Mus musculus: one gene and its partners. The protein of the gene in region 1 interacts with the protein of each later gene in a biochemical or structural test. Links are inferred from orthologs where the notes say so. Each region holds a gene or a part of one and is shown in the gene's direction. Other genes may lie near its edges.

Region 1 (4,309 bases):
ATTCCAGAATAATTCAGTAATTAAGCTCATATGGGAAAAAATGTTTGTGGTGCTAGAAAACTGAACCCAAAGTTATCTCAAAATTTTATTTTGGGGGCTGGAGAGGTGGCTCAGGGGTTAAGAGCACTGACTGCTCTTCTGAAGGTCCTGAGTTCAGATCCCAGCAACCACATGGTGGCTCACAACCATCCACCCCCCCAGCCCAGAAGTGTGTTTGTTTGTTTGTTTGTTGACTCACTTTCACCCTGTAATACAATTCAGGCTGGCTTGGATTCTGCTATATAGCCCAGGCTGATCTTGAACAAGTCTCAGCCTATCTGAATGCTGGGATTACAGATGTGAGCCAACACACCGAGCAGGTACAACGTTGGAGTTTTAGAAACAACTGCTGGGATAGCAGTGCACACCTTTAATCTCAGCACTCTAGAGGCAGAGGCAGGCAGGGGATCTCTGTGAGCTCCAAGCCAGCCAGGGCAACATAGTGAGAACCTGCCTTGAAAAATAAAGAAAAAACGGCATGCAAATGAAAGCTTCAAGACAAGTTTTCGCCTCTTTGGCAAGAAGTAGGTGCCTGTCTCTCTTCCTTGCATTTGAACAGGCTCCAGCTGTCCAAGAGAATTGAGCTTTGGGGAGGTAAGATATTAAGCTAAAGCCACAGCCCACGCCTACGTAGCTGGAAGGAGAACTAATGACCAATTTCAACCGGAAGCTTGACATCCAGCAGGTGGCCATCTCCAGCAGGCACCTTAAAAATTCAGCTCTCACGCTGTACAAAGGTGTTTCAATAAACGAGATAAAAATAACTCTGTGAAAATGCCTTGCAGTGTGTGTGGTAAGCATCATTAGAACTTACCTATTTAAAGATTTTTCTTCGCTAGGGTCACAGTCAAGATACCTAATGGGTTTGAATGCTCCTTGATTTAAAAACAATTGTTTTTCCACGAAAACGCTAAAGTGTATTACGGTCAAGTTAATCTGTTTCGAGAAGATTTGTCAAGGAAATCATTCACTTTGGCCATTAACAAAAACAGGTGGAAAGAAAGCAAGCGAACAGCTGGCCCTGGAAATAGAAAGTGCGCTCTATCTGGAGGGCCACATTTTAGGAGACTCGGGGAGCCTGTAGCACTTGGGGTTCACGGTGTACCGCCTGGAGAGCCAGCGAGGGTGAACTGAAAAGCGGACGATGACCGACACACCGCTCTGCCTGGACCCCGCGGGGACCGAGGGAGGGGACCCCTGGACTAGACAAAGGCTGCAGCCCCGGGAGGCCGGGTGCGCGTGCGCCACGGAATGCGCGTGCGCGCGGCGGTCAGCACCGCGGCCCGAGGCGTGGCGGGACCCGGGGAGGGAAGCGCGGAGAGGGGCGAGCCGAGCGGCGCGGAGAGAGGAGGGTTGAGGGGCGCTCGCGTGCGCCCCCTAGCGGTCGGAAGGGGAGGTGCCCGCCCAGGCCTCGCTGCCCGCCCCTCCCCTAGGGAGGTTCGCGCTCCCGTGGCTCGCGCCTGCGCTGCCCGCCGGCCTCCAGAACGCGCTTTCTCGGCCGCGCGCGCTCTCAGTCTCCGCCACCCACCAGCTCCAGCACCAGCAGCAGCGCCGCCGCCACCGCCCACCTTCTGCCGCCGCCGCCACAACCACCTTCTCCTCCGCTGTCCTCTTCTGTCCTCGCCTTCTGTCGATTATCAGGTAAGCGCCGCAGCTCTGAAATCCAGTCCCCTCTGGCCCTGTGCGCCGTCCTCCTGCCACCCCTCGCCCCAGAGATGGATTTAGGGAGCTGGGCATCAATCAGGCGCAACGGCGGGGGCCTCTCTGCGCCCTAGGCGCTGGGGAGCTGGGAAGGAACGCGTGCAAGAGATGCACGCACGCGAGCGAATGCGTGTATCTATGAGTGCTGGGGTCCCCACTATCGGCTCCGCGCAAATGAGGGGGGCTGTGCCCGCAGGGTGGGGCGCGGATGACGGTGACCTAGGGAAGGGGTTGTTCTGTAATCTGGATCTCAGCCTTTTGCCGCAATGGGCGTGGGTCTGTGAGTGTGCATGGGGGTCCAACGACGACCCCCGAAACAGAACCTGAAATCGGATTTCTCTGCTCCTGATTGCCATCAGCCCTAAGGAAGGTGTGGATCGGGTTCTAGAAAAGATGACTGCCTTCATGTCTCTCCACCTCCCTGACAGCGATTCTGACACGGCCTTCACTGGCCCTGATTTAAGGCGGTGGCCCGCCCCCTCCCCTTTTCCTCCTTCAGAAGCCGGCAGGGGACATTTGGGGGCTGGGAGGAATCCGGAGGATGGGGAGGGGTCCAGGCGCTGTCACGTTAGTCGCCCTTCCCCCTGCGCGCGCTTGGTACAGTGACAGGGGCAGCGCCGTGCCCGAGAGAAGGTAGTGCGCGGATCCCAATGTGGGAGCTCGAAGAGTCAGGGGTCACCTGGCCTCGCGGTGTCAGCGGGCTGGCTGGCAGCGGCTCCCCGCTCGAGGGCGCGCAGCGTTGCAGCCAGGCACAGACCCACGCGAGGGCTGCAGGTGCATTTCGGGGCGCGTTTCTTTCTCTGCGTTCTGCGCCGGGCTCCCGGCATGTGCGCTCCCTGCCGGAGGCGCGGGCTGGCGCGCAGGGCTCGCCCCTCACTGCGGCAGTGGGTGTGGACCTGGGTGGGCGAGGAGGGGGGAGTACGATGTGTCTCCTCCCGCTGCCACCCCTCTCCGTTTTTTCCCCCCTCTCTGAACGCGAGGTGCCATCTTTTTGCGGCGAGTCACGTCTCTATCGTAGCATGCCAAGAGCTGTGGCCAGGCTTTGGAGGACCCGGCTTGGACCCATGTTAAAGAACAGGGGGTGATGAACACGGAAGCCTTGGCGTTTTGCCTCTGCAGCGGTGCGCACCAGAGCGTTCACCTGAGGTCGTCTAGGGGAGCTCGCTGCTTTGTTCGTCGTGTGATTTAGGATCTGCGCTCCCAGCCCTGGTTTTTTGGGGGAGTGTGCGGGGGGAGGCGGGAAGCTTTCATTCGACGAGGATATTTGCCTACGCACTCGGAGCAGCTCCATCCTTTTTTCGCCACTCTTTTCAGACCCTTTGTTGGATCTACAGACTTGCGGCAGCCCACTCCCCAGTTCGACCCAGAGCCACATGGGTGGGATTCGAGATAGACTCTCGTGTGCAGGAGCCCTCAGAGGAAGCACATCCCTCCCCACACCCAGGCCATCCTGAGGACCACACCCCACTTGTGTTTCACTGCTAGGGGAGCCAGATAACCCTCGGGAATGGGGAGATTCGGCAAGCTCAACTCCGCATCCCCACCACCACCACCACCGTTGAACCCTGTTGCCTCTCCCGGTGGGAGAGTGTGAGGAGAGGGTATGAGATCCCCTGGGATACTGCGGCCACACCCATCCCTCCCAACCCAAGGAGAGAGGGTTAAGGGTTGCCATAGGAACCACACCAGCCAGAGGAGGAACCTCTGGGCGTTACCTCACCCCCTACCTCCCACCCCCTACCTCCCACCCCCCCCCTTACTCCGCGGAGATTTAGAATCCTGGGGTAGTCTGATAGTGCCTGGAAGACACGAGGAAGGGGCCCCTCATCCCTGATGCGAGCATCATTCTCTTGGCACTGGCAACCATAGCCATCCAGAGAGAGAGAGAGAGAGATGCCTCTAATGTATTTTATTATAAGCGTGCTGACTGATATTATTTTATTAATATCATTTAAATGAGGGACTTTCATTTTTAAAAAAATCCACATCTACAACAGCCCTTGAAACCAGAGAGGGATAGAAAGCTAAGAGGTCCCAGCCTCCCCACCGTACAGTAAGCTCGGTCTTCGAGGTTTTCTGGTTAATTTTACCGCTGAATACTGGTGCGGGTAAGCAGTTTTGAGACCGATGGATGAGCTTCTTAAGGGCCGAATTGCCCACGTCGACTGCTCACTCAGATTGATGTAGGCTGGGGGTGGAACGCCCTCTCCCGATCAAACCGCGGCCTGAGGCTGTGGCATCGTGGCCGGGCCCGCCTGGCAGAAATTTCGCGAGCATCTGAAAGATAGGTTCAAATACTACCCATCCCTCGCCACACGACGGGCTGCTGGGAACAGGATTCTTAAGCTAGAAGAAGCCAGGCTCTTGGGCTGGATGCGGAAAGGGGAAGGCTGGGAGGGGGGGCTGACTATAGCGGGCCCGTTGGGCAAAGGTGTCACAGCGGAAAAATCAGCGGGAGGGGGAGGAGACAGAACGTTTTACCCAGTGCAGAAACAAAGCTCAGATCACAGCGTCTTCGAACTCCCATTTTGCACTGTGTTGAGGGGTCGAGTGAGGTACTGTGCTGGCC
Region 2 (4,166 bases), about 16 Mb from region 1:
TACAAGTGTTAGTTAGCTGTTAGCTCCTGTAGGCTCATGGTGGGGTCCTGGAGGTCCAGCCCTGCATCCCCCTCATGGGTGGTGCTCCCATTTGACAGGCACCTCTGTACAACCACAGGGCCAGCGCCCTTCTTTCTAGGCCTGATGTTGCACAAAAGGTGACTGAGTGTTGGCACGGGTTTATGGCCAGCAGGTAAGCAGGGCAGGCTGCTTGGTCCCCCTGGGTCTTGTGTTCATGTCTCAGATGGGGAGCTGACCTTGCAGGGCTGCCTGAGAGCGCCTGTGCATAGGGTGGGAGTGGCACCCCGTACCTGCTCGAATCAAGCTCTGTGCCCTGTGACCTTGGAGTCCCTCACCTCACTGCTACCCTCCGCTTCATTCCACAATGAACCATTCCAGAAGCTTACAAATAAAACCCGGTTAACTCCCGTGCCAGCTTTCTCTTCAGGCACCATCTAGGACGGCAGCGCCACGACCCTGCTAAGGGTGACAAGTTTCCAAACAGCCGGGAGAAGGGCAGCGAGGCCGGCCCGCCCCCCACGCCTGTCCGGAGGGGACTAAGGCCTAAGCATTCTGTGCCCAAAACCAGTTTGACCCGGACTTCATAATCAGTGGAGAGGAGTCTCGCCAGCTGACCCACGCGGGGGGCGGGGCTGGACCATCCTGAAAGTCGGGAGACTTCCCCTGCCTCAGTTTCCCTACAATGTGTCCCGCAAAGCCAGCATAACACAATGCCCACTCACACCACCACCACCACCTTCTTTGATGCCCAGGGACACCCAACCCCGTGACGACCCCTCCTCCAATAAAGGGACATGGCTGAAGTGGAAGAACTGGTGACCCTCTCCCACGTGACTGGGATGTGATGGCCGCTCCCCGGACCCCCGGGAATCCCTCCAGCCCGTCCCCAGCCAGGCACACACGGACCCTGTAGAGAAAGGTCCTGGGGGGTGTGCGGGGCACAGGATTCACATAGGGGCGGGGGCCACGGGACTCACCCCAGATCGGGGCGCGGCCCGCCCCGGGCTTGGCAGTTTCGGGGCGCAGCCCGGGCCCTCCCTGCTACGCGGCAGTCCCGGGGCAGGGCAGGGCCGATCGCACGCACGCCACTCGCCGAGACCCCCGCGAGCAAGAACCGGGCCTCCCGGGGTCGCGAGCGCGCGGGGGCGGCGCGGGCGGGGCCGTTGGCGGCGGCGCGGGCCAGGGGCGGGCGGGCCCGGGCCCCACGTGTCCCTGGCGGGCGGGCCAATAGGCGCCCGGCTTTTGGAAAGATCGCCATATATGGACATGTTCTGGGGCCGCGCGCGCCCCCGCCCGCGCGCGCGGCCCGCTCCCGCTTAAATAGCGGCGGGGGAGGCCGCGGTCGGTCTCACACTCCGCCGCCGGCTTACACTGCGCTTCTTGCCGCTCCTCCGTCGCCGCCGCGTCCTTCGCCGGTAAGCTGCCGCTCCCCGGGCTTGGCCCAGTGACTTCCTGTGGCCCTTTCTTCCCGCTCACCCTGCCTGCCGCACCGCTGCGGAGCGGAGCGGAGCGCAGGGCGCCTGACGGGTGGGCCTGGGTCTGCAGCCGCGGCTGGGGGCAGGGCGGGGCCCGACGCAATGCGCAGCCCCTCCTCGCCGCGGCGGAACGGGGCGCTGCCGGTAGCCGACGGTTACGCCGCCCGGGGTGGGGACTGCACTCCTCCGGGGTGGCTCGGCCCTGGCCGAGGACATTTTCTGAGTTCGGTGAGGGCTGCGCTAATTCCGGGGCTTCTTCCTGCGCAGATCGCAATGGAAGAAGAAATCGCCGCACTCGTCATTGACAATGGCTCCGGCATGTGCAAAGCCGGCTTTGCTGGCGACGACGCCCCCAGGGCCGTGTTCCCTTCCATCGTAGGGCGCCCCCGACACCAGGTTAGTTGAGAGGAGTGGCCTCCCTTGTGTTCTCTCTGGGCCCGGGTCGCGCGGTGGGTGGGGCGAGTCTGACCGCGGCCTTTTCTCTCGCAGGGCGTCATGGTGGGCATGGGCCAGAAAGACTCATACGTGGGTGACGAGGCCCAGAGCAAGAGGGGTATCCTGACCCTGAAGTACCCTATCGAACACGGCATTGTCACTAACTGGGACGACATGGAGAAGATCTGGCACCACACCTTCTACAATGAGCTGCGTGTGGCTCCTGAGGAGCACCCGGTGCTTCTGACCGAGGCCCCCCTGAACCCCAAAGCTAACAGAGAGAAGATGACGCAGGTATGCTTGAGCCGGGACCTTGCCTCCCCTTGGGCGTGACGAGTCATTTTGTGTTGTGCCTCATTTCCTGACATTCAAGCGTTTCTTTGGTGTTTCTAGGGTTCTGTTCCTCTTCTCCTGGCATTTCCTCCCTGAAGCCTCCAGGTTTCTGTTTGCGTTTCTGCTTGCGTTCTGTTCTTTTTTTCTTCACACATCACATTTGTGGCATGCAGCATGCAGAGTGTGGGTGTGGGAGGCTCAGGGCCCCTGCTACTCACTCACTCAGGTGTTCTTTGTCTTTCCACAGATAATGTTTGAAACCTTCAATACCCCAGCCATGTACGTGGCCATTCAGGCGGTGCTGTCCTTGTATGCATCTGGGCGCACCACTGGCATTGTCATGGACTCTGGTGACGGGGTCACACACACAGTGCCCATCTATGAGGGCTACGCCCTTCCCCACGCCATCTTGCGTCTGGACCTGGCTGGCCGGGACCTGACAGACTACCTCATGAAGATCCTGACTGAACGGGGCTACAGCTTTACCACCACTGCTGAGAGGGAAATTGTTCGTGACATAAAGGAGAAGCTGTGCTATGTTGCCCTGGATTTTGAGCAAGAAATGGCTACTGCTGCATCATCTTCCTCCTTGGAGAAGAGTTACGAGCTGCCCGACGGGCAGGTGATCACCATTGGCAATGAGCGGTTCCGGTGTCCGGAGGCACTCTTCCAGCCTTCCTTCCTGGGTAGGTGTCCACAACATGATTTAGGAGCCAAGGGGCTCTCAGAAGGGATGGAACACACAGAATGTAGTGGCTAAATGAGCTCTGTTCCCTAGGCATGGAGTCCTGTGGTATCCATGAGACCACTTTCAACTCCATCATGAAGTGTGATGTGGATATCCGCAAAGACCTGTATGCCAATACAGTGCTGTCTGGTGGTACCACCATGTACCCAGGCATTGCTGACAGGATGCAGAAGGAGATCACAGCCCTAGCACCTAGCACGATGAAGATTAAGGTGAGTGGCTACCACCCGGCCTGAGCTGGCCTTAGGACCTGTGGCTGGGAAGTGGGACCCACAGGAAGGGCATGAGTGCTCATTCAGTGTTTTTCCTCCACAGATCATTGCTCCCCCTGAGCGCAAGTACTCAGTCTGGATCGGTGGCTCCATTCTGGCCTCACTGTCCACCTTCCAGCAGATGTGGATCAGCAAGCAGGAGTATGATGAGTCAGGCCCCTCCATCGTCCACCGCAAATGCTTCTAGATGGACTGAGCAGGTGCCAGGCATCTGCTGCATGAGCTGATATTGAAGTATCAATTTGCCCTGGCAAATGTACACACCTCATGCTAGCCTCATGAAACTGGAATAAGCCTTTGAAAAGAAATTTGTCCTTGAAGCTTGTATCTGATATCAGCACTGGATCGTAGAACTTGTTGCTGATTTTTGACCTTGTATTCAAGTTAACTGCTCCCTTGGTATATGTTTAATACCCTGTGCATATCTTGATTTAGTCCTTAGTTCATGTGGCTCGGTCACTTGGGGGCTGGGGAGAGCACGCTGTAGATGAGAAAGCCCCAGCCTGGTGGATCTCTGTGAGCACCACTGAGTGATCTGTGCAGGGTATTAACCAACAGCAGACTTCCAGGATTTCCTGAGGCTGGCAAGGGTTCCTGAACCAGTTACCACTCCTTCTTGCCAGTCTAACAGGGTGGGAAAGTCCGAGCCTTAGGACCCAGTTTCAGTTCTGGTTTCTTCCCTCCTGACCACCATCGGTTGTTAGTTGCCTTGAGTTGGGAACGTTTGCATCGACACCTGTAAATGTATTCATTCTTTAATTTATGTAAGGTTTTTTGTACTCAATTCTTTAAGAAATGACAAATTTTGGTTTTCTACTGTTCAATGAGAACATTAGGCCCCAGCAACACGTCATTGTGTAAAGAAATAAAAGTGCTGCAGTA
Region 3 (4,128 bases), on another chromosome or scaffold:
GCCTGTCTTCAGTTTTCCCAGTCTACCCCGTTCTGGAACTCCTTGTTCGCACATCAAGTTAACTCGGACATAATCCCTGGTCAAACCTGTTCTCAAATTAGGAGGCAGCTCCTTAGAGAAGGCTTTCCTGGCCTTATTAATACATTGGTTCCTTTCATAGTTGGATGTGTCCTTAATTTGCATTTTAGTGTCGATTTGATTTGGTGTATAGTTTATTATCTTGATACCACAAGAATTCTCTATAAGTTCTACTTATTGCTAGTGCTAGTACACTGCCTTTAAGAGAATAGGCAAGCAATAAAATATTTACTGGAGAAATAAGAAATTAAAATTAAAAAATTGCTGAGAGATAAAATGGGGGGAGAATAAATGAATGAGTGCTCACATTTGCTTCATGATAGCATCCCTGGAGAAAGACCATTTTAACATGTAATGGGAACAGTCTACCTGAATTTACTCAATACATATTTGTATATTTTGGAAATCACAGTATACTACACAGGTGTAAGAGAGACTGCCCTTTATTTCCTACTGTCAAAGCAATTGTCATACTTTTTTTCCAAGTTTAATATACTGTGCATGTAATATATTTTATATAAACGTAGAATCATTCTATATGTATGTGTTGCTTCTTTCTCTTAGTGATATTCTCCGTTGTTGGCGAGAATGCCTTTGAACTCTTTAAAGTGCTAAATATATTTTGCCTCATGAATGATAGTGATTTAAATACCTTTCCATCCATTGTCGAGGCTCGTCAGTTTATCCGTGAATAGTTAATATTTGCGAGAGCCGCAAGGACTTGCAGGTAAATCAGGTAAGGCAAAAAATCTGGAGCAGGAGGGTTTGGGGGGTAAAAGGAGGTAACTTCTTCCAGGGAGCTAGAGAACATCTACTCCTTGGTGGGTGGTAGGCCCTTGAAGAGTATCTGTCAAACCAGGACTCTCCGTGGTTCAGGTGTGTGCCCTGGCACGCGTGCCTGACCTTCAAACACTAACCCCTCCTCCCCGCGAGGCTAGCAACCATGCAGGCTTAAGCTATGACTGGTGTTTCGCCGCCACGCGCCGCCACGTGCCATCGCAGACCCGCCCCCTGCTGCTCCCGGCCCCGCCCCTCACACGCGGCCGCCCAGACGCTGCTCGCGGCCCCGCCCTCAGGGGAAAACCTCCGCTACTGCAGCCCGCCCCCCAGTGTAGCCACGCCCAAGTCGCGGGGCCACGCCCTCGTAATCCGGGCCCCCGGGGCTGGCCCGCCCCTAGGCCGCTCGCCGGCGCGGAGGCGGGGCCCTGCGCGATGACGTGGGCGGGCGTGCGCGTTGACGGCCCGCGTCTCTGTTAGTCAGCGGAGCGGCCGAGGCCGGACGTTGCGGCCGAAACGCGGAGCCGCGAACAGGATTGAGTAGCGGCCGCGGCCACCGCAGGACGGCGCCGTTCTCCGCTACGGGCTTCCAGGTCGCCGTTGGCTGCACTGCCGGGTGAGTGCGCGGGCGCCGCGGCTCGGGCGGCCGCCGCTTTTCCCCGGCCGTGACCCCCTCCCGGGAACGCGCGCGGGGCGGGGGCGGCGCGGGAACAATAGCGCGGGCGGCGGGGGCAGCGGGGGGCGTGGTCCACTCCGCGCGACCTGGCTTCACCGCTCCGGCCGGCTTCCACGTCGCGCGGGGGGAAATGGAGCGGGTGGGCGGCAAGTTCGGAGGTGCTCCCGCGGAGGTCGGGCCGACGCGACCGTGCATACGTCTCCCGCACCCACGGGGAGCGTGTTTTGACTGTGGGCGGTTTCTTTGTGCGGACGTGAGTGCCGCGACGCCGAGAAGAGCCGGGTGGCCGCGAGCGCGCCGGCCTGCGGGCCGCGCCTTGAGAGGGGCGCCTGCCGCTGACCTTTTGACTTTCCCCCGCCGCTGTCCCTTTGTCTTGCGCTTGGGTTCCTAGTCCAGACAAGGTAGAACCAAGTCCATTGTAAAGTACCGTAAGGAACGCATTACATTGTTATTCCCGAAAGTTTCCCATCCCACCGGGAATTTAATATCATGTTGACTGCACAGTGTCCGGTAGTTTCTATTTTTACTTCTGAAATTAAGTGATCTTTTCAGTAGAATTCTGGTCTGCCGGTCTATTGTGTTTTGAGATCAGCTTCCACCAAGTACCTGGTCAGTTAGAACATGTTTATTTCATTCATTCATTTGGCAACAGTTAGTGCTGTATCCAGGTGGAGAAGATGTGAAGGCCAAGAGAAAGACCCTTAAAAATTAGGGTAGTATGGAACAGAATAGATGTGCCTTTAAATGAGACGATTATGTAAGGGATGTATGTTAAGTAAGGTATTTGGCTCATTTGACTGGAACTTCCAAGGATAGTGTTAGGAAGAATATCCAGGTTTGGCTTAAATATACTACCTTTATTCTTAAATCCCACCCCCCCCTTGTCAATTTTCGTATCATTGGTAATGGTTACTTCAGTTCTCTTATTGAGGCTGTTAAACTTGGAAGGTTTACTTCTGTGTCTGACGAAGTAATCAAAATGGTACTTAGAGGCCTATTTTGCATCATTTCCCCATCACCAAGCATGGAAGTCATACTCATTGGGTTGATTGAAAGACTTTTATAGACAAAAATTTAAAATAAAGCCTTAAATTCTCCACGAAGTTTCAGATGTGTCACATACCACTCTCAGTTGGCTAGATCATAAATTAATAGAGGATGTTACCTGTTAAAGACCACCAAAGGGTTTGGAATCACTTTTTCACTTCTAGGTTAACTATTCCTGATTTTTTTCTATATAGTTAATAAAATAGAGGATTATGGCTTGTGTGTATAGTCATAAAAAGTTGAGTAGCCATACTTAAAAGTCAGAGATGCTCCAAACTCTCCAAATGAAACACTTACAGTGTCTTGTAGATAAAGGGGATTTACTTGGTACTCTGTCATCAAAGTTGAGAACTTTGTCCACTTCTAGTATTTTAGGTAAGAGCTTTCTCTAGTCATGTATGAATACACCCAGACACAACAGTGATGTTTCATTAAGAATCTAGCATGATTGCATTTATCTCCCTTAAAAAAACTTATGACGGTGGGTGTGCCTGCATGATGTTTTTGTGGGGTGGGGTCACACATGCCACTGTGTGCATGTGAAAGCCTAAGAGCAACTGTGTGGGCTTCATTCTCTTCTTCCACCTTTCTGTGGGGTCTGGACATGGAACTGGGTTCCCCTGCTTCCAGGAACCTTTACCCAGTGAGCCATATTTATCTTTTTGTGACTATTATTTCACAAGGGTTTCGATGATTTAAGTTTGAAAATCAACATGTAAATGTATCTTACAAATATTTCTAGTAGTTCAGCGCTGCTTAATTTCTTTAGAGGTGCTTACTAGAAAGGTTAAATCTTAACTTGTATTTAACCAACTCACAAAGCATATGGGTTTAAAAATCCAAGTTTTGGTGCATTTCCACTATTTGAAAAGTATCTTTTCAGTATGAAAGTAGTTCAGATGAACTTATTTACTGGTAAGATAGGAATGAAAAAAAATAAGAACATGACTTTGTTACTATAAGATATAGATCTTGAGACAGCAAACTTTTATTGCTTTATCTTGTTAAATATATTGGGTTCTGGAAGGGACTCCAGAATTAAGAAATTATTTGAGTGATTCAGACTCTACAAAGGTTCAGTTAGGTTGTTTTCTAAATTCTGTTGTTTAAACAGCTTTTTTTTTTTTGATACTTAATTCACATAAAAGAGTTACCCTTATAGAGTATACTTTTTAGTGGTTTATTTGTTAATTATGCATTCATCACTACTATACTATTCTGGGTCATCATTTTGCACAAAGAACCCCCACCCCTTTTAAAAATAATCTGTCTGGTGTTTGAAAGGAACAGAATATGTTACCTTAGTGAGTTTTATCAGCATGACAGACTAGGAAACTATATGCTTCCTGCTCCTTGTAATCCTGAGAGAAGTTAGCTGGAAAGGGATTAGTGTAAGAGTAAACTGAGGCACAAATGGTGGCGCATGCTGTAATCCCAGGATTTGGGAGTCCAAGGCAAGATGAGTTTGAGACTGTTCTGGGTCCCAAGCTAAAGAATAAATTGTACCAAAATGAATACAGTTAGGATCATAATCCATGACCAGTATTATG

What was found. The genes of interacting proteins can lie anywhere in the genome.
Region 2: the proteins of Mapt (region 1) and Actg1 form a complex in vitro, tested with the Homo sapiens proteins (2 studies listed by BioGRID, with this or other methods). The link is inferred for Mus musculus from reciprocal best matches to the Homo sapiens genes MAPT and ACTG1.
Region 3: of the proteins of Mapt (region 1) and Mapk8, one has a biochemical effect on the other in vitro, tested with the Homo sapiens proteins (2 studies listed by BioGRID). The link is inferred for Mus musculus from reciprocal best matches to the Homo sapiens genes MAPT and MAPK8.

Annotation. Positions count from the first base shown.
Region 1 is NC_000077.6:104,229,928-104,234,236, forward strand, and holds the start of Mapt (microtubule-associated protein tau), read left to right. Parts: upstream 1-1,508; 5' UTR 1,509-1,680; intron 1,681-4,309. UniProt on the Homo sapiens protein: Promotes microtubule assembly and stability, and might be involved in the establishment and maintenance of neuronal polarity.
Region 2 is NC_000077.6:120,345,695-120,349,860, reverse strand, and holds the start of Actg1 (actin, cytoplasmic 2), read left to right. Parts: upstream 1-1,365; 5' UTR 1,366-1,436; intron 1,437-1,763; 5' UTR 1,764-1,769; coding exon 1,770-1,892; intron 1,893-1,985; coding exon 1,986-2,225; intron 2,226-2,324; exon of another isoform or gene 2,325-2,369; intron 2,370-2,447; exon of another isoform or gene 2,448-2,511; coding exon 2,512-2,950; intron 2,951-3,042; coding exon 3,043-3,224; intron 3,225-3,327; coding exon 3,328-3,471; 3' UTR 3,472-4,166. UniProt on the Homo sapiens protein: Actins are highly conserved proteins that are involved in various types of cell motility and are ubiquitously expressed in all eukaryotic cells.
Region 3 is NC_000080.6:33,444,358-33,448,485, reverse strand, and holds the start of Mapk8 (mitogen-activated protein kinase 8), read left to right. Parts: upstream 1-1,327; 5' UTR 1,328-1,471; intron 1,472-4,128. UniProt on the Homo sapiens protein: Serine/threonine-protein kinase involved in various processes such as cell proliferation, differentiation, migration, transformation and programmed cell death.